Neurospora crassa OR74A: one gene and its partners. The protein of the gene in region 3 purifies or fractionates together with the protein of the main gene of each other region. This does not show direct contact. Links are inferred from orthologs where the notes say so. Each region holds a gene or a part of one and is shown on either strand. Other genes may lie near its edges. The genes, in order: NCU08973, NCU05959, NCU01674 and NCU01907.

Region 1 (5,697 bases), on a different chromosome or scaffold from region 3:
TTTGTATATATGATAATTACGAAGATACAGTCGGTACTTTCGGCTTAAGGAAAGTGGAGTATGCACGGACCAGTCTAATGCCCCTAATTACCATGCCCCTATTGGATTCTCTCTTGGGCAGGGAATAAATGCGAGACATTTCCAAACAGAATCCAAGTCGAGCTAATCAGCTCGTCGCGATAACCTTCAGGTGAGGTTGACGAATCAGGTCGTGAGGCACAAAGAACCCCGCTTATGTACATGTGCCATGGCTTGCCAAAGCATGCTTTTGATGTTCAACGCTTGATGCAAATGCACCTCTGCCATGTTCATCATGTCTTGTCATTGAGTTTTCGACTTTTTGCATTCTCGTTTCTCCTAACTCTTTCTTCTTTGTCGCATGGAAACGCGGCATGTCGTAACGTGGAAACGACATGGAAGAGATGTAGTGATGTATGGTATCGTTACGAGCATTTCCTACAGTCCCGATTCTGTGCATCTTCACCAGCCCACATCAGCAATTATGCACCCTAGTGTACATAGTACGGCTTTGAGTGGTAATTGGTGGGTGAATGCTTATCCTCACCGAAGGTGGTGCTAAACACAAAGAAGACAGACGGGCTCACCACGAAAGCAGTGGTCGTGCATGTACATAGTACTGTGTTTTGGCACCACTTGGTAGATCAGGCCGTGGGAGGCTAGCTGGCCACACACACAACCTCTCCCTCCCTCTCGAAAAGGACACCCACTTCCATCTCATCATGCCAGAGCCTCTTCCCCTCCTCATCCCCTCCTCAGTGTCGACCGTACCACCTGGAAGCTAAGAAAAAAAAGAAAGAAAAAAAAGAGAGAACACCACAACACTCACCTCCTGCCCCTCTACCCCTCCGTAAAACCAAGGAACTAATGCACTGCAACGGCGGGAGTGATGAGAAAGCGAAGTGAGATGAGACATTTCATTCTCCCCCTCTCACTTGGAAACAAAAAATGAAGGGGAAAAAAAAAAAGCCTAGCGGTTGCCGTAGCCGTTTGTGCTTGGCCTGCTCTGTCTGTCCATCCCTTGTCACTTTTGACGTTCGGGATGGCTTGTTCTTGGAGGAGGAAGGTGCCGTCCAACCAGAATTGAGCTGACTGACTGACTGCATCAATTGCCTTCCACTCTTCCGGGGAATACCTGGCAGAAGGGTGACAATCAAGATCTCGTACGACACTTTCATGGATCCTCGGACGGGAGGACGGGCGGTGAGCCCGGTCCTTTTATTCCCCCCAAAACACCCTTGGCCTTCTACTATAAACTTGTGGGACCAGTTCCTGGTGTTCTGAACACAACTGTGAACCTGTTTGCGTTTCTGGCAAGACGGCACATGTCGTTGAGCCTCACTTCGTTGACCTTGCCCAGGACAGGATTGATGAACCCAGAACAAATACCAAACTCGACCGAAACACCACGAAAACGAACGAATATCTATTTATCCTGAATCACAATGTTTTCATTCGAATCCTTCTTTGTTTTGGGGCTTCAACGCCTAGTAAGGGCACTCTCTAAACCTGTGCAGTCCTGCAGTATGCAGCTGTCAGAACTGGACTCGGGTTTCATTAAATTCAGTCCTAAACGCATGGCCTTTTAGAGTTGCTTCCAATTTATGGCACCATGCATGAAAACGAATGTCAGTTCCGCGGAAAAAAGGCCATGATAACACTGCCTGTTATATGTACGTATGTGCGTATGATGTATGCACCTGATTTATCTTTTCCCCAACATCTTTGGAAAATGAACGACGGTGTAAAATGTCTCGGGAGCAGGTGTGTAGTGTACATATGCATGTTCCTATCTCTGCCCAGTCAACTGGGTCCCGGCAATGGGTTTGTTTAGGGTTCGATTGGTGTCAAATAAAGCCCAGCCCAATACAATGAGTTTTACGCCGTATATGTAGCAGTTCTCACTTGTGACATATTCTCTACCTTGACTATAGATGTTCTCGACATGTCAGTCACCTACAAAGACCCCCAATGATGATCCCATGAATTCTAATATGATCTTTGCCGTAAGCCGAATCCCCATTCATTTGAAGCAAAGGCGCGACATCAGGTAGGAGCGCCTCTGCCACCCCGCACATTTACAGTCTCAGTTTCCTATGATGTTGTTCGAACCCCAGCTTGCATCCAACGTCTGTAGTGCACATGAGTAGACGCCGACGGAGCCGATATAAGATCGGCATGGAGGAAGATCCGTACGCAATGCCGCCATCATCGATCAGCTCAATTGATGCTGCTGCGTAGTCTTGTAGTTTGAATCTCAACGTTTCCATTCATATCTTCAAAAGAGTCTTTTTGGCTGGGCTAGCTTGAGAGGGATAACAACCCCTAGAATATACCATAGTGTACATTAGTTACGACTCGCACAGTTTACGCCACTACGGCGTGGCGGACAAGGTCGTCATCACTGCAACCGAATGTCGTGACTGGGGAACCCGACCGCTTCGCTTGTGTCGGCCCATCACATAATCTTTGAGGGCGGATGTCGTATGAAACTAACGGGTATGCAAGAAACGGAGCGAAGATCTCTCAGATAAGTGCGCAGCCTCGGGTTCGACACATAACAAATCTATAACAGGACTACCTACATCTGGTAGTCGAAGTATGTATTTCACAGCTTTAGCGCCAAACAGTGGTCAATCTTTCACAGTTTCGGGTATGTACCACACAACAATGAATATGAGAAAGGGTATATTGCAGGTTGAATTAGAAGTTTAGCATTCTCAGAGCCCACGAAGCCGTCAAGGTAAGTGGCTTTCACATATCCAAAGCGGCTACTGTAAGGCCCTCTGTCGTCAGTAGCCAAACTGCAACCTGCGCGGAAACCAAAAGCTGAATTAGAAGAGACCCCCACCAGTGCCTCGAAGACAACGAGGGGTCAGTCGCTCTTTGTATTTGGGTAGGGGGAACGTTGCGGTCGATGGCATATATCAGTGCGGCTGACTAAAAGCGAAGACAGTCGCGCGTGGTTGGTTGGTATTGATGAACGATCTTTACATAACCAGGCAGCACGAGTTCTGCTTCTTCGCACTCTGGTAGAACATCTTGCTCTGCGCACTCAGGTCGGAACTCTTGGCAACCAGGTCGTCGAGCTTCTCGCCTCGTTGCAAAACCTAAAACTAGGTTAGCATGTTATATAGAGCATTGCTACCCTCTGTGAATGGACATACGCTATCAATTGCCTTGTGTAGGACGATCTTGGTCTCGTCGAGCTCTTGCTGGATCTTTGCAATGCTGCTCGCGTTGTTGGCATCTTGGTAGTCGCGAAGGTACTGCTCGATGGCCGGGAAAGGGATGTCGCCGTCGTTCTTGGCGGCGTTTATCGTGGCAACCGGCTTCTCCGAGAGAAACTGGTCCATGAGCTTGGAAAGGACACTGTGGGCGGCGATAGGAGGGTAGTCCTTGGTGATGACGACACCGCAAACACCCTCGGAGCGGGCATAGGCGTGGATAATATAATCTGTTCGGACACCACCTAGTCAGCTAGGCACATGTATGCGAGCAGAGAGTTCACCATAGACGCACCTTGCTCCTCAACACTTTGCCTCTGGCCAGGCTTCGTCCTCTCTGCGACAGTCCTGCTGATCATGGTCATGAAGTTCTTGTATTGGTCTCGTGTGAACCTGGAGAAGTCGCTAAGCTCGTGGGCACCGCAGAGCTGCACCGCAGGCTGCTCGGTGTTTTTGTAGATCTTGTTCGCGGTCAGCAGGTACCTTCTTGTACCCCCTATGAAAGCAGCCGTATCTTACACCAATGTAGTAGAGCTTCATGGTAGCGGTATTTGAAACGTCCCCGAGGTTTTGTTGTGGTCGTGTTTCAGAGCTTTGGCGCAAATCAGGCGAGTATCGCTGTTGATGGTTCCTGACTGTACACGATGATGTTGATGTCTCGCGTTGGGATAGAGAGAGCCGATGTGATGGCGTGGGGAGCAATGAGGTCTGGAATTGCCGAATCGTAGGGTTCGTCGTTAGATTAGGTTAATGGATTGTAAGTTGCGATGGTTTGGTCAAGGAAGCGCGTCGCTGTGTCGGTCGTGGTTCGGGCTCGACGATTGTCGATGGATTAGGGGGAGGGGTTTGATAGACGACGCGCGATCGATGGCGGCAATGGCGATGCGATGAGGTATCGATGGAATCAAGCTGTTGTTCGAGGCTGAATGGCGATGTGTCGAAGCCAACCACAGCCGTCCGCTTCTTGTTGGGCCAGGCCATCGAGACCCATGCCCTCTGGGCTGGAACAGCACCGTCAGGCGGGCGTCGGCCAAACACCGCCCCGCTAGCACATGTTAGTGCCAATGCTACTATAGGAAGACCTTGTCCTAACACGGGCTCTTGTTGCATCTCCGTGTCCTTTCATTTGCTTTTTGTTCAACCATGATTGACATGTGCAATGACGACTAAGACGACTACTCAGATCCCTACAATCGCACTTGTCAAGAACATCTTCCTGGAACATTGAACAAAAGTTTCCAAGGGGACGGACTGATGATGTGGAAGGTGATTAGAAAGCACAAACAGAACAAGCGGAACGCCGGCCCATGCTTCTAACGAGGTTTCCTGAAGCGAAAAAAGGGTCTTTGGTGTACAGTGTTCACCCGCGAAGCGAATATGTTTGACATGCACTCTGCTCCGAGTCTGGAAGGGATCGCGGACCTCTCAACGAGTATTACCCCTATGAGGCACATAGTATATGATTCCACGACTACCCAGTATAAAATACTATGGAGCAAAACTCCTTCGAGTCAGACGGATGGGATCGATGCCTTGAATGACCTTTTCGAGAACAAAGTCATCGATCCTCTCCACCAGGTCCGGATATTACACCGCGCGGATTTCCACCTCGTGTCGGATCTCGAAGCCTTTCGGGTACATATCATTCATGGTCGCACAAATGTAACTACACACATATGACCATCGAACCGCCTTGCCCACGCGTCTGTACATCACCAATAATGTAAAGCTGGACATGAACTTCTGGCCGAGAGATCGTCAGACTGGTGAAGCTAGAAGTCTTCCTACCAAAAGTTGACCTTGATGGAACAACAACCATCAAGACCCGTAGTCGTAGTGTATGTAATGACGAGGAGATGGCTCAAAGAGGAAAACCAAGCCGTAGTGTAGTGTACTATGTAGTGTAGTGTCGTGTAGACAAGCCTAGGAAAGAGACAGGGGGGGTTCGTGAAGTGGCCGGCACATGCGTCGGTTCCTCCTTCCACCTACACTACACCAGATTTGGACGCCGGCGATGCCTGTGGTGCTCCACCGCTTTTTGCACCGATTAGGACAAGCCCAGTGAGCTGTGGCTCTTCGCCATTCGTTTCCCCAGCGATCTCACTCTGCCGTCGCGGTGCCGTTCGCTTGTGAGATGGAAGAGGAACGGGCGGGATGCTGGGGGACGTTGGGACGGCGACGAAGCGCAGTGGACACTAGACTCTCTGCAGTGGGTTCGCAGTGCAGTGGGTGGGTGGACCCGCTGCTGCAGACCAGGGCCGAGCCAATCCCATTGGCTTTAAAGGCAAGTCCAGGGTGCAACGTCTTGCCGGGCAGTCGGGCGTAACCTGGACAGGAACCATCGTTCGCTCTTGGCTCGCTTGGCTCGCACTCGTCTGCTCCGTTGATTGACGAAGTCGACCTTCCCGACGCGACCTCGTCCCCCCTGGTCAGCTTCTCGAGCCTCGCCCAC
Region 2 (5,558 bases), on a different chromosome or scaffold from region 3:
CGAACGACATTCGCATGTGAAATGCTGCTGGACATCTTCGCTTATACCATCCATCGTGTTCAAAGTCCAGAACTGCAGCATGGCTCTTAAAAGGGCCGATGAAGGGACTTTTGCCTGATGCGTAAAACTCCGTTGAAAGAAGACTGCAGAAGGATTCAAGAGGTTTCGGCCGAAACTCGTTTGACATTCCTCTCATCAATCAATGACCACAAGCCTTCCCCGAGACATGCGAATGCACTCCTGATGACACAGGTATGTCCCTTGGGCTCACATTCTGACTAAGTTTTTTTTTTTTTTTTTTTTTTTCTCCGACCCTTGGCATCATCACTAGCTCTTGAGCTCTGAGCTTTGATATGCACTGCAGTACACGTACTATGCAGTAGAAGCCCACCAGATCGTTATTATGTAAGCGGCTCTTCACGTAATTGGCTCCTCTTCTCTTTTTTAAACCGTTTGACGATCTCCAAACAAAAGCGCCCCTGCCAACCTTTGGGAATCTCGAATCCCACCCATCAGTGATGTATCATGTATCATGTATCATATCAAGTCATTGCCCGCCCTACCTACATGTTGACTTTTTTCTTTCTTTCTTTCTGCCCTGTGACATATCTTCTACGCTAGGCCTGCCGAAACGGCCACCACCAGGCATTGGTGGTTGCAACGGTGACATCGTCCCGTTGCTTCAGTTCCCACAGGTGTAGAAGCCCAAAACAACTTGACAACAACAACAACAAAAAAAGAATCGCAACGGACATCGGGGTCCTTCTTGACTCCGTTTCCGACTCACGGCCGGCCGGGCGGGGTTTTTCTGTCTGCTTCAGTTCTCAACTTGAAGTCAACGTGACTGGTGAAGACTGCCACCACGTTGATACGTATGAGAAATTTCATGTCGGCGATCCGAATCCGCATCGATCCGAACCCGCATCGATCCGAATCCGAATCCGAATCCGAGAATTTTGTGTCCTCCGACTTTTTTTTGTGTACTTTGTGAAAATTGTGCAATTTGTGCAACCTGTCCCTCGTTTTCCATCCATCCCGGATGTTCCATCCCTTCAGACTTTCAGCTGGCCCACTGCACTGCAGTCAGTCCCGCTACAGTGGAAGAGAGAGAGAGAAAGAGAGAGAGAGAATCCACAGTGGAGCGAGGCTTTTCTCCGTCGGTGCCCTCGGCTGGCTTCCATGGGACCCGACGACGACGACTCCATACCTACATACCTAAGGAACTCCCCTCGCCAAAAGTCAAGTCCGCTCCGTAAGCGGTTTTGGTGTTTCTGTCTTGTGACTCCATCTTGAAGTGAAGAATTGCAGGTGAAAATGGAGACGAGTGGAAGGCTGCCGGGGAGAGACCGGCGATCTCCATCCAGCTGCAGCTTGAGCTGCGGAACATCAGTCCGGTGGACTTCTTTTTTTTCACCGCCTAAAGTTCAACTGGAGCTGTGGAAGGTCTGAGGGTCCGTTATGTACTGCGTATCTGTGAAAGTGGGGTTATATGCAAATGTTAACAACAACGAAAGTATCTCGAAGAAGATGACTTGACGTGATTTGCAGTGATGCGTGTTTCCATCACATGGAAAATTTCTTAGTCTACTCATTTGTAATAGGCCTGTAGTGTACATGAGTTACCAAGACACAGTTCTTGCTGGGATATACACAGTACACCACGGTTCTTCAGGGTGGCAAAGAAGCTTAATTTGGGCACAAGAAATAGCGACTTTGTCGAAGGCTCGCTCTCTGTTTCTTGTAGAACTACCAAGCTACCAAGTCACATCCCAGCAGAGGTGTGGTGAACGCAAATCATTCAAACAACAGTGGCCAACAGAAAATTTGTTTTAACCAAGGCCCCGGTCAACACCGACCAAAGTCAGGGATACTATGTCTCAGAGGAGAATCATTTGAAATCATAGAGAACGATCCGCTACCCATGTGGCGGCGAGTTGTGGTGGACATGGCGAGCCGTTTTCCCCTGTCGGATGTCGGAACGTCCATGGAAGCAAGGCCGCCGTATGGTCATGAGAAAGAAATACGTCTAAATTTCGAAACCACCTCCCTTTGTGACGCCGTCTGTGTAAAAATACAACCCCCCGTACGATACCATCCCTACGATACGAAAAACATGGAACTGGAACATGTCTCTGTTATAACAAACGCTCCATCGGTACAGTCCAAACCATCCACCACCTGTTCGTATATATCGTGATGTCACTGAACACCCCTGCCTGTTCTACCTGATGTTGTATTGCTTCTTTATGGATTCGCTCAGCTCTCTCGACACAATCACCTGAACTTGCTAACGATAACCGCAATGATAAGGAGGACCAGCACGGTGATGATCGCAATGGTGATTATCCGATTCGTAGCCATCCTAATGGTAAAGGCGCAAGTGGTCAGTATTACCTAATCATCATGATTCGCATTGGGACAAAAGGGGAGGGTGGTACCTGCGTGCCATGCCCTTTAGTGTCTTGACACTTCGGTCCACATAGCCTTCACTCTCGTATAGTATCGTGGTGGTGTGCTCAATGACTTCGCGTTGGCGGTGCAGGTCGGCCAGGGTGCTGGCGCCAATAGCCTCTGTCTCGGCGGCCAGCGCCTGACTGGCCTTGAGGCGTTGTGTGCTCCGATCGAGCCGGTCGGTGCCTTTTACGTTTCGGGGGAAATAGTCAGCATTCCGTTTCTTCTTGCCATGTATAAGGTGCTTCTGTCCACCACCCACCAGATAGCAGCTGCTGCCTCTGCTCAAAATGCCTATCGCCACTCGAAGAGCCCGGGTTATCGGTGTATCTGCCGCCGAACAGGGCGCTGCGGTCCGTCGCCAGCGTCTGCAGCTTGCGACGATACTTGTCCACGTCGCTTCGGTAGTCGCGCAGTCGCTTGTTGATGGCGGTCCGCGACGAGCTGGGCACGTTCTGCTTCTCCATGTTCATCTGGTCCAGCAGCTCGCCGGCCTCCTCCAGGGCGCGCTCGGCCGTGCTGAGGGCGGCTTTCCTGGGCTCGCCCGTCAGCTCCGAGATTTGGTCGAGCTTCTGGACCAGGTCGGCCTGGACCAGCTGGTATTCCGTCTCATAATGCTTGAAGAGCTCTGTGCCGGCTTCGCTGTCGAGAATGTTGGCCATCTTGGATTCAATGGAGTTATGTGTTGCTATCGGATGTGGAGGTTGGGGTTCGGGGCAGGTGTGGGGGTGCTGTCGTCGGGCTGGCCGTATCGGGGTGATGCTCGTTTATCGGCGGGTATCGTTATTCTCAATTATTCAGATTCGTCATTAATCATGCCAAAGAGGGGCGTCGTTGATGCGGTCGCGTTGGACGAGATGTGGTTGGGCTGGCGTGTGGTTGGTCTGATCGCAAGGAGTAGTGGTCGTCGTCGAATGTTGTCTGTCGCCAGCGACACCAGTGTGCTTCGAGCCCCGTTAGTCGTTGCGGTCGTCTCAGCAGCCTGACAAGCGAACTGAAAGGCAGGCAGGCCGCAGGCGGGAGACGACAGCAGCTGTGGGCACGGACCAGCATGGGCACATGACATTCCGCTTGTTACATACAGTTACAGTGGTTACAGTTGCAGCCTAGGCGGGTGACGTACACATGCTTGGCGTTGCCGCATGTATTGCAGTGTTGTTGCAGTACGTGTACGCAAGCGCTGTATGTATTGTTTGCAAAGTGTAACTTACACGGACCGTGTCCAGTTGAACGTATCAACCCCGCCTGGGACTGCCGGGGACTTTGGCGTCTTGAAACTCTTCAATTGGTTTCTTTGTATGACTGAGTTGACCTTTCACCAGCCAGCAACGAATTGAGACCGATGACGACCTAGGGAAGGGAACTGTTTTGGGGGACATATCGCTTAGAAGGTCCAGTCAACGGCCACGTCCCAAGACATGCTAAGATAATATAGTGTACACTGCCTAGACACTGTCACGGCTGCTTGACGCGAACCTTGGCTGGTTTCCCCAGAAAATGGACACATTGCCAGCCTTTTGTTTCTGGTTGGTGTCTTGAATTTTCCAAGTCTTTTTTGGGTTTGTAGTCTGTCGCCACCGATGCTTTGGGAAAATGTTCTCCTGGCAGTCGGGTCGGATTGGTCGGCAATGTTGTTTTGCGGCGCAAATAGTAGGTAGCTGCTCGACATTGCCACGAGATTTGCACCTTCTGTTAAATCATATATATGTCAGCTATGACATTCGGATTTCGTCGCCGACATCAAAACACCAGGACTGCTCATGGCCATCTGGTCCGGCCTCGTGGCACACACTTACTTACACACATACACGCACTCATACACTCTCTCTGTTGCTCGTCGTCCAGCAACACCAGGCTTCAGCCCAGCGATACCGACCCGTCTGACTAAACCTCCACCACAAAACATCCATCACCAACGGACAAATCAGCGACCCCGGTCACAATTCGAGAATTCGCTGCGAGGTTCTTCATTCGAAGGTTTGTCAGGCTGATCCACTCTCGGCACGCCATAGGATTCGCTGGAATACATCATCGCTTGGCTAGTGGAGAGTGTTGGCGACATTCACCAGGATCGAGTTACGTACCGCCGCCGCCGCCGCCGAAGGAAAAAGCCCACGCCAACGTCCGACGGTTTTGACACATCGGCGGCCGATTTCAGCGACTCACCGTTGCCGGCGTCCACCGTCATCCACCATCGGCACCGAATTGGCCCCATCTTTTTTAATTTGGCCAGGCTAGCTCAGGGCTTGGCCAGTCCCCTGCCCGCTTACCTTTACCAGGATCTAGCAGGATCTGCCGTGCGCTTCCGCCGTCGCTTTTTTTCTTCTTTGGGCGCCGCGGGTGTCGTGACCGGCCACTGGCACAGCAACACCACCGTTTCCAAACCTCTTGGAGCTCCTCGCAGCTCGGCCACGGCTTGGACCCCGTCAGTCAGAGGGGTGAGGCCAAGACACGGTGACAGTCGGACGCCAATTGGTCATCCACTTTGTTGGTGCTCCCTCCCCTGCCACTCCGAGTCTGCCCAGGTCCCCCTTGATTTGTTTGGTTTCTCTCTTGACATCCTTCCACACACCACAACAACGTCCGAGGCTTTGCTTCTCTTCGGGCTCCTCAAGAACTCCAGAGGCTCCGGTAGCCCAGGGTCTTATTTTTCTCCAGCTCCTCACCTTATCCATCCGGAACAGCTAATTAATTCAAAACATCATCAGGGCCTTCCTTGTCTTCTTCTCTTCCGTGCTGTCTCCACGTTCCTGGTGTCTCCCAAGGTGTATCTCCTGTTGATCTGGAATCCTGTTTTTGTTTCTTTCCCTTCCATCTTTCGCGACTGTTCTGTTTTCTCCGATACGACGCCACCGGACCGCCGTGGTAGACCTCTCATATAACGTTCCATCACCCCCTTGCTTCACCACGTTCTTAGCTCTTACGCCCTCATCACCACTGGCCAACTGTTCGTTAGGCAACCGCATTTCGACCTGCAACTTTGTATACAACCATTCATCGATGTGAAGGCCAGCTCATCAGCCAGGGCGCTCCAGTGTTCAGTTGAGACGGAGAGGAACGGTTTCGCTTTCGTCGGATTGCGCCAGAGCCAGAGTCCACTATTGACC
Region 3 (5,591 bases):
GAAGCGAGACGCCGTCGAGCGTGGAATTGTGGTGATAGACAAGGCGAAGGAAGCTGCAAAAAATGATCCGGGTATTATCAGGACCCGGATGAGGAAGAAGAACAAGAGGTGAACGCTGAATTCGACTCGTCGGGAGGAGGGGAGGGGGAATTGGTGAACGTTTAACTTTGGCTTTCTTGGGACCTAAGTTCCTGCTCATGTTTATGTTATGACAACGACAAGGGGGTGGCAACGCAGGGCTCATAAGAAATGAGACAGAATTCGTACGTTATCTAAATAATTGTAGGATTAGCTTCAGTTCAGTTAGCTTTCTATACCAGAGTAATCTCTGGCGGCCGATGTGGATCATCTGGGTAGGGCACACTTAGTATGATACAGCAATCAAATATTGTAGTGTGGCGTTTGCATCGCAACAGCGTCGGGTAGTCCCTCACTCAGTGATTCTTGTCCCTTGAATACCCCTCGGAAGACGTGAACTCCCAGTACAGACAGGCTGGGCATCTGACGCGGTTCCCTGAAAGGCCTGAAAGTCCCGGCCCCGCGTGTTGTATCAACGCATTAGGTTTTCCGTCCTATTCCAAATCTTCCAGGCTCTCCACACGTTCGGCATCAGTTAGCAGATACAGAGCCCTCCTATATAGTCAGACCACGCAGACCACAGCCCTTATGCCTTCTCCAGGGCGCGCGAGACGAATCTCGGCCATTTTCCCCTTGATCATCTACTCCCCCTTCTTCCCACTCCTGACAACAAAGTATCTCCCAACCTTTTGCTCAGCTGATCCCAACACATCCCAATCCTCAGCCTCATTTTTCTTCTTTTCTTTCAGCTCCTCCATCTTTCTCCGCCTCGGCCGCAGGCAATGACCAACAATATCCTCCTCCGCCAGCGCCCCTTCAAGCATCTTCAGATCAATTGTGCTGTCCGCCAGTCCCTCCGGAGACTCATCTCGGATCGAACTCAAGGGCGCCAGCTCCTTGGCTTGATCTGACGGATCCGTGGTATCCACCGACTGGATGGCCCGCACGAAGTGCAGGTGTGAGTGCAGAGCCGAGAGGAGGCGGGTGGTGGAGGCAGGGTCGGAGGCGGAGGGCGGGGGGAGGGCGGAGAGGCGGGCGAGGTGGTGCAGAGTTTGGGGGGTTATTTCGCTTTCTTCGGGTTGGGTTGACGAGGATGGTGTGGATGATGGAGGAAGAAGAGAGCGGACGGACCAGGTTGGCGTGGAGAGGATGACTGATGGGCTGATTTGTGATGGTGGAGGGAGTTTGGAGGAGCCGCCGCGGGCGGTGAATTGAGGGAAGGTTTCGGTTGTAAAAGATCGTGAGCGGGAGAAGTCACGGGTTGATGGCTGGCTGGAGTTGGAGCTGAAGCAGGCTGAGAGGGCCGAGGAGGTTGAAAGAGCTGCGCGGTGGCAGGCGCGGCAGATGGTTTTTGTTGTCATGATAGCCTTGATGGGAAGAAAATGCCTCGGTTTTCAAGGTAGTATAGCTGAAAGGGAGATGTTGACTTGCGTTGCTCTATGAGGTTTGCATATGATGTGGCTTGGAGATTATTTGATGCTTTAATGGGTGGTTTCAGGTGAGGCTCTGGTAAAATGTCGCGATATGAGAGGTTGAGATGAAAGAGGACGAGACATCCTTTGCGAGGTACCTACCTATTGGGCGTCATAGCTGAGCTTTGGTAGGTTGAAGGCTAGACCCCTGCCACCGGGCCACTTGGTCAGGCAAGCTACCAGCCCTCAGGGAACCTGCTCAGGCGTCAAGGGCTTGGCGAGCCGGCATCAGCGATCACAGCCCGCTAAAGTGATCATCCCCCCAATACTCGTGCTCCGCCCCCACTTTTTTGGATCTCGCCAAACTCGCACCAACTAAAGTTGGTGCTCACGACTGCAACGGCCACACCACCACAACGGCCACCATAGTGAGCATAGTTCAGCATCAAGATATCAGAAGCTTGTAACTCATCACAACAACCAATTGAGATAAGTAAAATACTATAAGTATAATTAGGGAAGTACATCGTATATAGGAAGCATTTTTCTGCTTAGAAAAGCCAATACATTAGAAAGATTATGTTTCTGGCCTATAAATCAAGCCCGAAATTGCACCTCTAACCCTAACCTGGCCGTTGCGCTGGTGTGGCCGTTGCAGTCGTGAGCACCAACTTTAGTTGGTGCGAGTTTGGCGAGACCCAAAAAAGTGGGGGCGGAGCACGAGTACCGGCCAACCCCCCAATCCCATGCCCGCATACCTTACCCCGGGAGACAACGAAACACCTCGGGCTCCTGCAACCACCAACACGACACCATCCCGACCAACACCTGAGCTTCTTCGAGCGCGCCCGATTCCGAACAATTGGGACACCCATCAATCGGCTTCATACAGCGGACGCGACTCCAACTTAGAACTTTGCCCATCTATATACCGTCTAATAACTTGCCCTTCATGGCTGTCGATCCGCGCGTTCTCCAACAAGAGGTTTGAAACCTGCCCCTCCTGGCACCTCCTGACACTTTCGCGACACCTTGCTGATGCCGAATGCGAACACCAGGCAGAGAAGACCCTCGCGAGCGCGTCCAAAGGCTGGGGTCTGTTCGGAAACAAGGAAGACAAGTACCAAAATGCGGCGGATCAGTACATACAAGCGGCCAACGCTTTCAGGTTGCAGAAGTCAAGTACGTCATCACAATCATCAACACCCACGATGCGCTTTCGGGCCATATGAACCTCGCGGCAAGTCCTAACGTTCTGCCCACTACCCAGACACCGAGGCCGGCAAGTGTTTCGAGGAAGCTGCCAAGATCTTCACTGAGAAGTTGAAGGAGCCCAACGATGCGGCGAATGCCATGTTGGACGCCTTCAAGGTCTATAGGAAAGATGCCCCGGATAATGCTGTGCGCTGCGTCGAGGTTGCCATCAAGCAGTATACCATGGCGGGGAACTTCCGGAGAGCTGCGTCGCACAAGGAGAACCAGGCTGAGGTCTACGAAAACGAGCTGCAGAATAAGCCAGAGGCTATCAAGGCCTATACAACTGCGGCCGAGTGGTATGAGAACGACGGTGCTGTCGCGTAAGTGATTAATGCCCACGGCTTTTGCGCCATGTTACGAGTCCAACAGGTCGTTCTAACCAGCTGTGTGTAGTCTTGCGAACAAGCTGTGGCTCAAGGTGGCCGACCTCTCTGCCCTCGCGGGCGACTTTTTCGCCGCTATAGAGAAGTTCGAGAAGGTTGCGGAGGCTTCACTCGGCAACAACCTGATGAGGTACTCGGTCAAGGAGTACTTCCTCAAGGCCGGTCTCTGCTCCTTGGCGACCAAGGATATGGTCACTGCTCAGCGTAACATCACCAAGTATGCCGAGAAGGACCCATCATTTACGGGCCAGCGCGAATACCAACTCCTGGTTGACTTGTTGGAAGCAGCCTCAAACAACAACCTCGAGATGTTCCAGGATAAGCTTGCCGCGTACGATAAGATGAGCCGGCTCGATGACTGGAAGGCGGCTGTTCTTCTCCAGATCAAGAACAACTTTGAGGAGGCAGACAACGAGTTTTCATAAACAGGGTGGAGGAACTTGTGATATACAGCCATTTATCACTTTCTGGTTTCCTTCTTTCCTTTTTCTTTTCTTTGTTATCGTACCGGCGTTTTCTGGTTGGGAGGGGGATGAACTGTCATATCATGAATACGGTCATCGACGCTTTGGTGATTTACGGAAGACCCAAACAAACCTGCTGTCTGGGGTAGAGATGGGCTTAAAGCAATAGAAACTTGTTCCTAGTGGGTACGCGTTGTTCGTACGATCCAACATGAATTGTTGTATCTCATAACCTTGATGGCTGCCCAAGCGAAACATAGGTACCTCTATAAGCATGAGATGCCATAGCTAACCCTGGAGTTACAGTTGGGAGCCGCTTCGGACTAGCGCCAGACCCTTATCAATGACAGCGGGTGGGGCGTGCGCGCCGATAAGCGACAACTTTTCGAACTTTTCTGTTCTTCATGACATCGATTTCAGCACTGCGAAGCGGCTTGCATTGTCCCACTCCAGCGCCATTCCATCACATTCACGATGGCTTCTTCTCCGTCTTTGCAGGAGAAACTGGACAAGATTCGGTCTCCGAATCTCCAGAGCCAGAAGCAGGTAAGCCAGAGTCATGATGCATCTCTCCTTTTTCCATCTTTTGTCTTCTGCATCCCTACCCTCTTCCTTCCAGCCTGCCATTGCAGTGGCCTGTCGCAAGGCCGCCTCCATCGTGGACAATGGACCCTGACTTGAGCCACAGACTGCCAGTGTCCTCGAGGCTATCGAGGCCACCTTCAAGGAGCGCAATACACCCGCGACTCCTACCGCCTACTTCGCTGCCCTTCTCAGTCTACTCAACAACGAAAACCTCGCGACCCCCGTCGTCTACCTCCTCGATGTCGTCACTCCCTTCGCTCCAAAGCCTATTCTTCAGGCCAAGTTCACTCAGATCATCACCATCCTCGCGCCAGTACTATCCCTCCCCGATGCCGATGCTCCCCTCATGAGGGCCTCGATCGGCTCTCTCGAGAGCTTGCTCCTTGCTCAAGATGCGACACAGTGGGAGCTCGGTACCGCCCAGATTGGCCCCCGCCGGGCTGTGGCCGGCCTCCTCGCCCTTGCCCTCGACCCGCGTCCCAAAGTCCGCAAGAGAGCCCAGGAAGCGCTCAGGAACATCCTGAAGAACCCTCCGCCGAGCCCGTCTCTCGACCACCCCGCCGCCCCCATGTGCGCCGAGACAGCCATGCAGAGCCTCCGTCTTGTCGCTGACAAGGCCGCCGCCCAGAGGAAGGAAAAGAAGACTACCGACTCTACCCACGATCCCGAGCTTATCCACGCCTTGCAACTCGTCAAGGCTGTCGCCTCTGGAAGCGGTGGCTGGCCCAGCAAGAGCATTGAGTCTTTGTGCGAGCTCCTTCTCAGCATTGCCCGGACGGGCAACGAGCACATGAGCATGGCTGTCTTCGAGATCTTCGAGATGATGTTCGAGGGCATGGCCGCCGACGAGGTTGCCTCCGCCAAGCTTCCTCGGCTGCTCGAGATCATCAGAGAGCTCCGTCCCGCGCCCAACGATACCCAGCTTCTCCCTCCCTGGATCGCCATTCTGTCGAGAGCCTACGATGTTGCCGGTCAGATTTCGCCCGCCGAGACCTTCCAAGAGCTGGTCGATCCTTTCACTCTGGTTGCAGGATACCTCGAGTCCCAGCACAAGAATATTCGCGTTTCGGCGTCCGAGTGCTTGGTCTCCTTCCTGGCCAACTGTGTCCCCAAGGAGGCCATCCTTGAGCCTTCGATTTTTGACGAGAAGGTCATTCAGCAACTAGTCAAGGTTGTCGAGGGCCTTCTCACCGTCCAGTACCAAGCTGCCTGGATGGAGACTTTCAACGTTCTTGGTGCCATGTTCGATGCCTTTCGGTGGCAGGCTAACCCTTACCTCCTTTCCGTCGTCAAGAGCATCGGCGAAATCCGCGGTAACGATTCTTTCGCTGGAAAGCAGGAAGCCGACGAGGTCCTTGGCAAGGCGATTCGTGCAATGGGTCCTGAGGCGGTCTTGAATGTTCTTCCCCTGA
Region 4 (6,146 bases), on a different chromosome or scaffold from region 3:
GTAGTAGGCTTGACCCCATGCTTCTCAGCAATCTTAATTACCGGCTCGGCGCTGGTCACGGGGCTACCGGTGCTGCCAAAGGGCGAGTACGCCATGATGTGAATGCCCTTCTCTTTGCAAAAGTCGACAATTTCTTGCTGAGGCAGTTGCGGGTGGTTCTCGATTTGGTTGACGGCTGGAACGATCTTGGCGTGGGGGAGGAGCTCTTCGAGATAGCGCTTGCTATACTGTTTGTATTGTAAGGGGCTTAGGTTAACGGCCGCCATCACGAAGTAAGAGGTAACGAAGAAGGGACGGGATGGCTAAAGGCTGAGCAGGGTTGGGCAAGGAAGGTCATGAGAATAGAAACGCATACGTTGGAAACACCAATAGCCTTGGTCCTGCCGGACCCTACCAGCTTCTCCATGTTCTTCCAGATCTGGACGTGGCTGTAGTCGCGGAGAATGTCGCGCTCGCCGTTGGGAAGCTTGGGGAATCTGTCATCGTTGCCTATGTGTTGTAGTCGGTTCGTCAGTCCACTAAGCAGCGACCTTGGTCTTTTTTTCTTTCTTTTTTCTTTTTGTTCTCTCTCTTCTTCTTTTTTCGTATGCCCACTCAACGAACTCACCTTCAGGATTCATCAAAAGCGGCCAATGCTGTTATAGCCCAAGTCGCCATTCGTTAGCACCTTCCTCAACACCTTTCTCTTTAAATTCCACCCCCACTTTGACACAACCCCCTAACCCCCCCAAGCAAAGCAGCTCACAATAGCGAGAGGAAAAACTGAAGACTGAGACAACATACCACCAAAAACAAATCAACATACTCCAAACCCAGATTCCTCAAACTCTTTTCTAGCCCCTCCTCCGCACGGCTCGTGTACGTCGCCCATAGCTTAGTTACGACAAACACATCCTCGCGCTTGACGATACCCTGATCAAACGCCTCTTTCAGGCCGGCACCGACATGCTCCTCGTTGCCGTAGCAGTAAGCCGTGTCGATGAGGCGGTATCCAGATTTGAGGGCAGCGACGACGGCGTCTTTTACCTGGGTGGATTCGCCTTGCCAGGTGCCTATTGAAGGAGGGGGAGGGGATGGGTTAGCTGCGTGCGAGGGGTGGAAGGGGGGTGTTGTGTGTTTAAGAGGGGAAGGGGACCTGAACTGGTGACAATGGAGAACAAACGGGAAACTCACCAAGTCCCAGCGCGGGAATGTTAGCTCCGGTGTTGAGCTTGAAGGTTTTGGTGGCCATGATGGTTTTTTGATGGTGGTGCTGGTGGTGAGGTATCTGGTTTTGTTTCCAACTACGAAAGATTCTGATGTTGCTGCTGTTGGCAAGCTTCAAAGAAGGAGTATGGGGAGTGAACAAGACAAGAAACGGCTGATTTTACACGGAGAATCCAGCTTTTGGGGTCGACTAGAAGCTATGATATCAAGATTGAGAGTGGAAAGGAAAGACAGAGGAGGATTGACCAGTTATATCAAGTTACGTTCGAGGAGAAGGTTGTCCAGGGTTTGAGCCACACTGGACATTCGGCTAAATGGCAATCGGCGTTAGAGCGTGGGGGATAGTTATGGTGTTATCGATTCCGAGAAAGCTACATGTTTGTAATGATTCTTTTTCTTCATGTTGTCTGTACCTGACTAGGTAATCATGAGACCTGAAATTCCGACTGTAATTATTCATGGACAGCGTGGATGGAAGTAACAACGGAACATCGACACGCCATTGTGTAACTCGAACATCGTGAACTTGGGTTTGAGGCGTCCAGAAATACGGCACTCGGGGCTTCTGTCTTTTCGTGTTTAGTCAGTACTCGATGGCATTCGGCGTTTCGTTAAGATATCAGACAGTACTTCGAAGGTGGGATATCGACAACCTCGCCAAAGATAGCCCCAGCAACAAACATCCGGTCAATGGAACGGATGGCATCCTCTCACCTTACCCCGCGAAACTTGGCTGAATCTAACAAGGGCCTCGGCGGAACGATTGCCCCTCTGTCGGAATGAGACCTTGCTGTGGTGTCGGTCCGCTCTACTATAGATAGTGGTAACAGTGAGTGGCCGAGTGGATCCGTCGTGTTCGCTTGCTCTGGGTTTCTTTCTGGGGCTCGAGCGGAGAGCATTAGTTCCAGGTACCGAAGCTGAGTGGAACTGAAATGATTACAGTTGCAGGAACTGGGGGCGTGGAGTGCTTAGTCTAAACCTGTTCCTCTATTGGTGGCATTTAGCGTAAGCGAATTCCGTCGGTTAAGTATTTGTTGACCTTAGATGAACCGAGAGCGAACTTTGAGTCTTGATCCCTATGCTGAAGCCAACTTCCTCGGCAAGTAGGTATAAATAATCAAATGCCCCCACCGACCATCCAGAGGTATACCTGAGCTCTATCAGCCTTGCAAGAGGTTATGTTGTGGAACAGTGAAAGGACATGGAAGAGCGCATGCAAAAAAAGAACCGCATCTTCATGAGGAAGAGAAATTGTATAATTAATGCATAAAGTCTACAAGAGACGCCTCTGCATGCATTATAAAGAAGAAGTATAATATTACTGAAACGCCGCCACAACTGCCGTCTACCCGGCAATTAATACCCAGAGAAGGAAGAAAATCATCTACAAAGTCGCACAGCGTTAGAGTTTTATGCAGGGCATAGGTAACAGAGCAGGAATACTGGGCTTACCAAAACACCAAACATCTTGGCTAAGAGCCATCTATTACTTGAAACACGGCTCCAATATTTGAGCAGTTCTTTTTGCGCGCCTTCGACGTTCTCTACCACGTCCTCTCTGCATGGTGTGTTAGTACAGTGCTGGTGTGTCGAGCGTCTCGAGACAAACCTACGTGTTGGCATCAATTCTTTGTATCATCTCAGATTGTTCGCTGACCATGGCCGCGAGCTGCCCAAAAATGGAACCCAGCTCATTGATAGTCGACTCGATGGCCTCGATCGCTTGCCCTCGTTGTTGGACGTAGGTGTTTTGGCCTTCCTCCAACATCTGGAGCTGCATCTGCTGATCTCCCATCGGGTTCAGCGAGATCAGATCTTGCTGCCCTGGTGCTGGCGTTCCCCTACTAGGCGTGCCGTACAGAGGTGACGCAGATTGTTGCAAGGAAGCATGTGCGTGCTGACCTACTGACGAGACAAAGTTCTCGGTCCTCGACCGCGACGCCTGAATGTTCTTGGTTCTGATTTCGAGCACGTCCTTGAAATTAGCACCAACATCTCCCAGCTTGCCCTGTAGGAGCAGGAGAATGTTTTTGTTGTTCTCCCCTTCTTGGTCGGGCTTCGGGTGCAGACGTCTAGAGAGATCTTGCAGGTTCCTGATCTTCTCGTTCAACGAAGACAGGTCTTGCTTGATGACAAAGGTCAACTAACATAATGGTTAGCCAGCCAGTTATGGAGTCGAGGCGCGCAAAGATCAAGCGCATGACCCAGCTTACCTCGTTGATTTCGACCGGCCTGTCATCGAAAAGAGTCTTCTTCTTGGCCAGCTGTGCTAGCTTTTCCAGCTTGGCCATTGTCGCAGAGATACCCCTTCCAATCTCTGCAGCCCCCCTCGCAAACTCAGACCTTCTGGGCTGGGCATCGCTGCTGGCAGCATGTTGTTGAGCGGTGTCCAGAAGTCGCTGCTTTCCTGGCTTTGTGGCCTGCCTACGCTGGGCAGCCGCAACAATCTGTCGGAACTCTTCCGTTCGGTCGTTGATGGCAAAGACAGCCATAATTAGAGGTGTATCGGTATATGCTGAGGCGGTAGTCCGTCCGTTTCCAACAGCTAATCGCGGGGAATGGGTCGTAGAGGGGCGCGTGTACCCCTGAGCAACCGGCACGCGGTTAAGTCGTAATCAATAACACGTCGGAGTTCGTAAGTCAGGAATCGAGACGTCGTCAACTTTGTCAATCGTGACCGGGGGCGAATGCGACTCGTAGGCTGCGAGTTTGCGGAGGAGATTATGGATTGGCAAAGTGGAAATGGGCGGATCCGGGGGATGCGGCGGGAGCGAGGCTAATTCGCGACTGGCGAGGAGGTCGGCGGCTGGTCGTGGGTGTGTTGATTGAAGGTCGTATTTATGAAAGGCGCTACACGATGGACTCGCGATGACGTATGAATGAGTGGCGGTGTTATAAGTTCGTCGTCGTGGTCGTGGTCGTCGCCGTCGTCGAGTCAAATGGTTGGTGTCGTGGTCGTCGAGGTTGAACAAGCTCCTCCGTTGTTGTCATCAGCGACGGGAGTTCGATAAAGGGAAAACGTGGTTACTTTACTTACATAGTTTCAGGAGGGCCCGTGACGCTGCAGTGTGTGGCTCGGCCCCTGCAGTTGAGTAAGAAAAGCTCACAGTGCAAAAATCCAAAGCTGACTGACCAAGACACTGTTGTTAAGCATTCAGTTAAGCTAGACTCGCTAGTAGTACATTTGATTGGACATCAGCCCAGTCTTTTTAAAGAATCAACTTCCCGATCAACCTTGAAGTCGATAACACCTCGGCACTGCAACTCAATGTTCTTTCACATTGTATTTTTTTGCCACTCTTTGGAATAGTATGGTTGCCCCCACACTCAGACCCAAAAGCCCAAGAATGGGAGATGAATTTCTGGTTATCCGAGCCAAAGGTGTGAGATGTGACTAGAGGTATGTCATTTTTACATGATGGGGTCACGTCTGTCAGAATGGGAAGACGCTTCGTTGAATGCCCCTGGCCTCTGGGTTACTGCGTTTCTGACCCACTGCGGCCCATGGATTTGGGGTACTACCTCTAGTACATGAATGAACGTCAGGCCGGGCGCTTGGAGCTGAGCGGTACCAGAAACTCAAGGCCTGTCACTGCAGCGCCAGCAAGGGTGGAACGCCATTAGCATCGATCGAGGCGCAACCAAAGTAGGTAGCTAAGAATTACCTCTAAGTAGATACTCTAAAAACGGATGAAATCCGGGGTATCATTTCTAGAGCCATTGTGACTGCCTTTGAACTAGGGCTTCACAAAACCAAACAACTTGCAGCACTTCTAATTCTCATTCAAATGGGATTTTCCCCCCTTTCCTGGCGAGTTATGTGGTTTGCTGAGGCCTGAATGCCCCGTAGAAGCGTCGCCGTGAAGGCCTCTCTCTCCAGATACCTATACTTGACTAAAGAATTGAATGCAAATTATCAGTACTTTCCCCTTGTGTAGTGAGTTCGTAAACCTAAAAGAAGCTTCCCTTCGGCTTCACCTCACCTACCTCTACCCAAGAGGTCTACGAATACCTTACATATTCCGAAAATGTAGAGCCACAGGTTTCTCTAACTGCATCCGCGGCCGAGTGCGGTGGCATTCAGTTAGTGCCTTACAGAGTGGAGAGTCTAATAGCCTGTCTCATTAAAGCTCGCCCCACGTCCGCCTGACGTTCCAATGCTGCCCTGGGCTGCTGATCCCTGCCGCGGTCCCGGACCATAATCTTCAACAACGAGAGGAAAGAGCAGGGAGCATGAATGGATGCAGTGTCATCTGGTCAACTGCCAGCGCAAGTCCAACATTTCAGTTTCACGTCCCAATGTCCGTCTTCGCGATTTCAGTCTCCCTTCTAATCCTTCCTCCATCCTCGTATCCAACCGTTTCCCGCCCTCGAACTTTCTTTGGCGACTCTTCCGTCACACATTTACGCATCCATTTTCCCTTCTGGTTACCAGTATATTGCGCTACTTTCAACTAATTAATCGGCCCGCCAACCGACCAGACATTCACTACCACCAACCTAATCTTCGCCATTTGCCTTGCCTTTTTCTCCGCGTTCCTTCAGTCATACTTTCACATCGGACAGGCCGTAGACACCTTCGACGCCACGGATACACATCTTCGGAATTGCTTATCGGATACTCAGAATCTGGCCCGCAATACATTACGGGATACTCCAGGCTGCAGAAGGCTACCCTTACTTGAGAATTGTCTGACATCCGATTTCGGTTCTATTTCCTTCATTCGACTCGACAGCGCTACTCTGTCGCCTGCTTGTACATATCGGCGCATGCCACAACGACGCTCATCGCCATAAACACTAACGGTCAATGCAATGGACGGGACATACGGGAATATCTACCCGACAAACAACAACCCACTGTCAGTTGCCCTGCTTCTAGCCTCCCCCTTTCCGTAATGCCCGAGCAGGTCGCTTCTCAGCCCGCAGTCGCTAAAGGC

The links.
Region 1: the proteins of NCU01674 (region 3) and NCU08973 purify together in Saccharomyces cerevisiae (affinity purification with western blotting; 5 studies listed by BioGRID, with this or other methods). This does not show direct contact. The link is inferred for Neurospora crassa OR74A from reciprocal best matches to the Saccharomyces cerevisiae genes SEC17 and YKT6.
Region 2: the proteins of NCU01674 (region 3) and NCU05959 purify together in Saccharomyces cerevisiae (affinity purification with western blotting; 5 studies listed by BioGRID, with this or other methods). This does not show direct contact. The link is inferred for Neurospora crassa OR74A from reciprocal best matches to the Saccharomyces cerevisiae genes SEC17 and VTI1.
Region 4: the proteins of NCU01674 (region 3) and NCU01907 purify together in Saccharomyces cerevisiae (affinity purification with western blotting; 6 studies listed by BioGRID, with this or other methods). This does not show direct contact. The link is inferred for Neurospora crassa OR74A from reciprocal best matches to the Saccharomyces cerevisiae genes SEC17 and SED5.

What each region holds. Positions count from the first base shown.
Region 1 is NC_026503.1:4,095,457-4,101,153, forward strand, and holds NCU08973 (SNARE protein Ykt6), read right to left. Parts: upstream 4,228-5,697; 5' UTR 3,786-4,227; coding exon 3,765-3,785; intron 3,707-3,764; coding exon 3,541-3,706; intron 3,476-3,540; coding exon 3,186-3,475; intron 3,129-3,185; coding exon 3,009-3,128; 3' UTR 2,554-3,008; downstream 1-2,553. Other genes in the region: NCU16686 (hypothetical protein), read right to left, coding at 5,346-5,697.
Region 2 is NC_026506.1:3,310,073-3,315,630, forward strand, and holds NCU05959 (vesicle transport V-SNARE protein VTI1), read right to left. Parts: upstream 3,431-5,558; 5' UTR 3,114-3,430; coding exon 2,714-3,113; intron 2,638-2,713; coding exon 2,439-2,637; intron 2,363-2,438; coding exon 2,275-2,362; 3' UTR 1,865-2,274; downstream 1-1,864. UniProt on the Saccharomyces cerevisiae protein: t-SNARE found in various SNARE complexes involved in multiple transport pathways. The composition of the t-SNARE complexes is specific for a limited number of v-SNAREs and therefore allows only the vesicles carrying the matching v-SNARE to fuse.
Region 3 is NC_026502.1:2,740,812-2,746,402, reverse strand, and holds NCU01674 (alpha-soluble NSF attachment protein), read left to right. Parts: upstream 1-2,067; 5' UTR 2,068-2,442; coding exon 2,443-2,475; intron 2,476-2,548; coding exon 2,549-2,672; intron 2,673-2,760; coding exon 2,761-3,067; intron 3,068-3,140; coding exon 3,141-3,555; 3' UTR 3,556-3,887; downstream 3,888-5,591. Other genes in the region: NCU01672 (DUF726 domain-containing protein), read left to right, coding at 1-112; NCU01673 (hypothetical protein), read right to left, coding at 720-1,439; NCU01675 (90S preribosome component RRP12), read left to right, coding at 4,069-4,140, 4,283-5,591. UniProt on the Saccharomyces cerevisiae protein: SNARE complex protein that binds to cis-SNARE complexes on membranes and is required for vesicular transport between the endoplasmic reticulum and the Golgi apparatus and for homotypic vacuole fusion.
Region 4 is NC_026501.1:2,073,202-2,079,347, reverse strand, and holds NCU01907 (syntaxin 5), read right to left. Parts: upstream 4,230-6,146; 5' UTR 3,699-4,229; coding exon 3,420-3,698; intron 3,350-3,419; coding exon 2,820-3,349; intron 2,765-2,819; coding exon 2,659-2,764; intron 2,591-2,658; coding exon 2,552-2,590; 3' UTR 1,921-2,551; intron 1,776-1,920; 3' UTR 1,513-1,775; downstream 1-1,512. Other genes in the region: NCU01906 (GCY protein), read right to left, coding at 1-227, 356-489, 608-635, 784-1,052, 1,174-1,231; NCU01908 (hypothetical protein), read left to right, coding at 6,022-6,068. UniProt on the Saccharomyces cerevisiae protein: Required for vesicular transport between the endoplasmic reticulum and the Golgi complex. Acts as a target organelle soluble NSF attachment protein receptor (t-SNARE).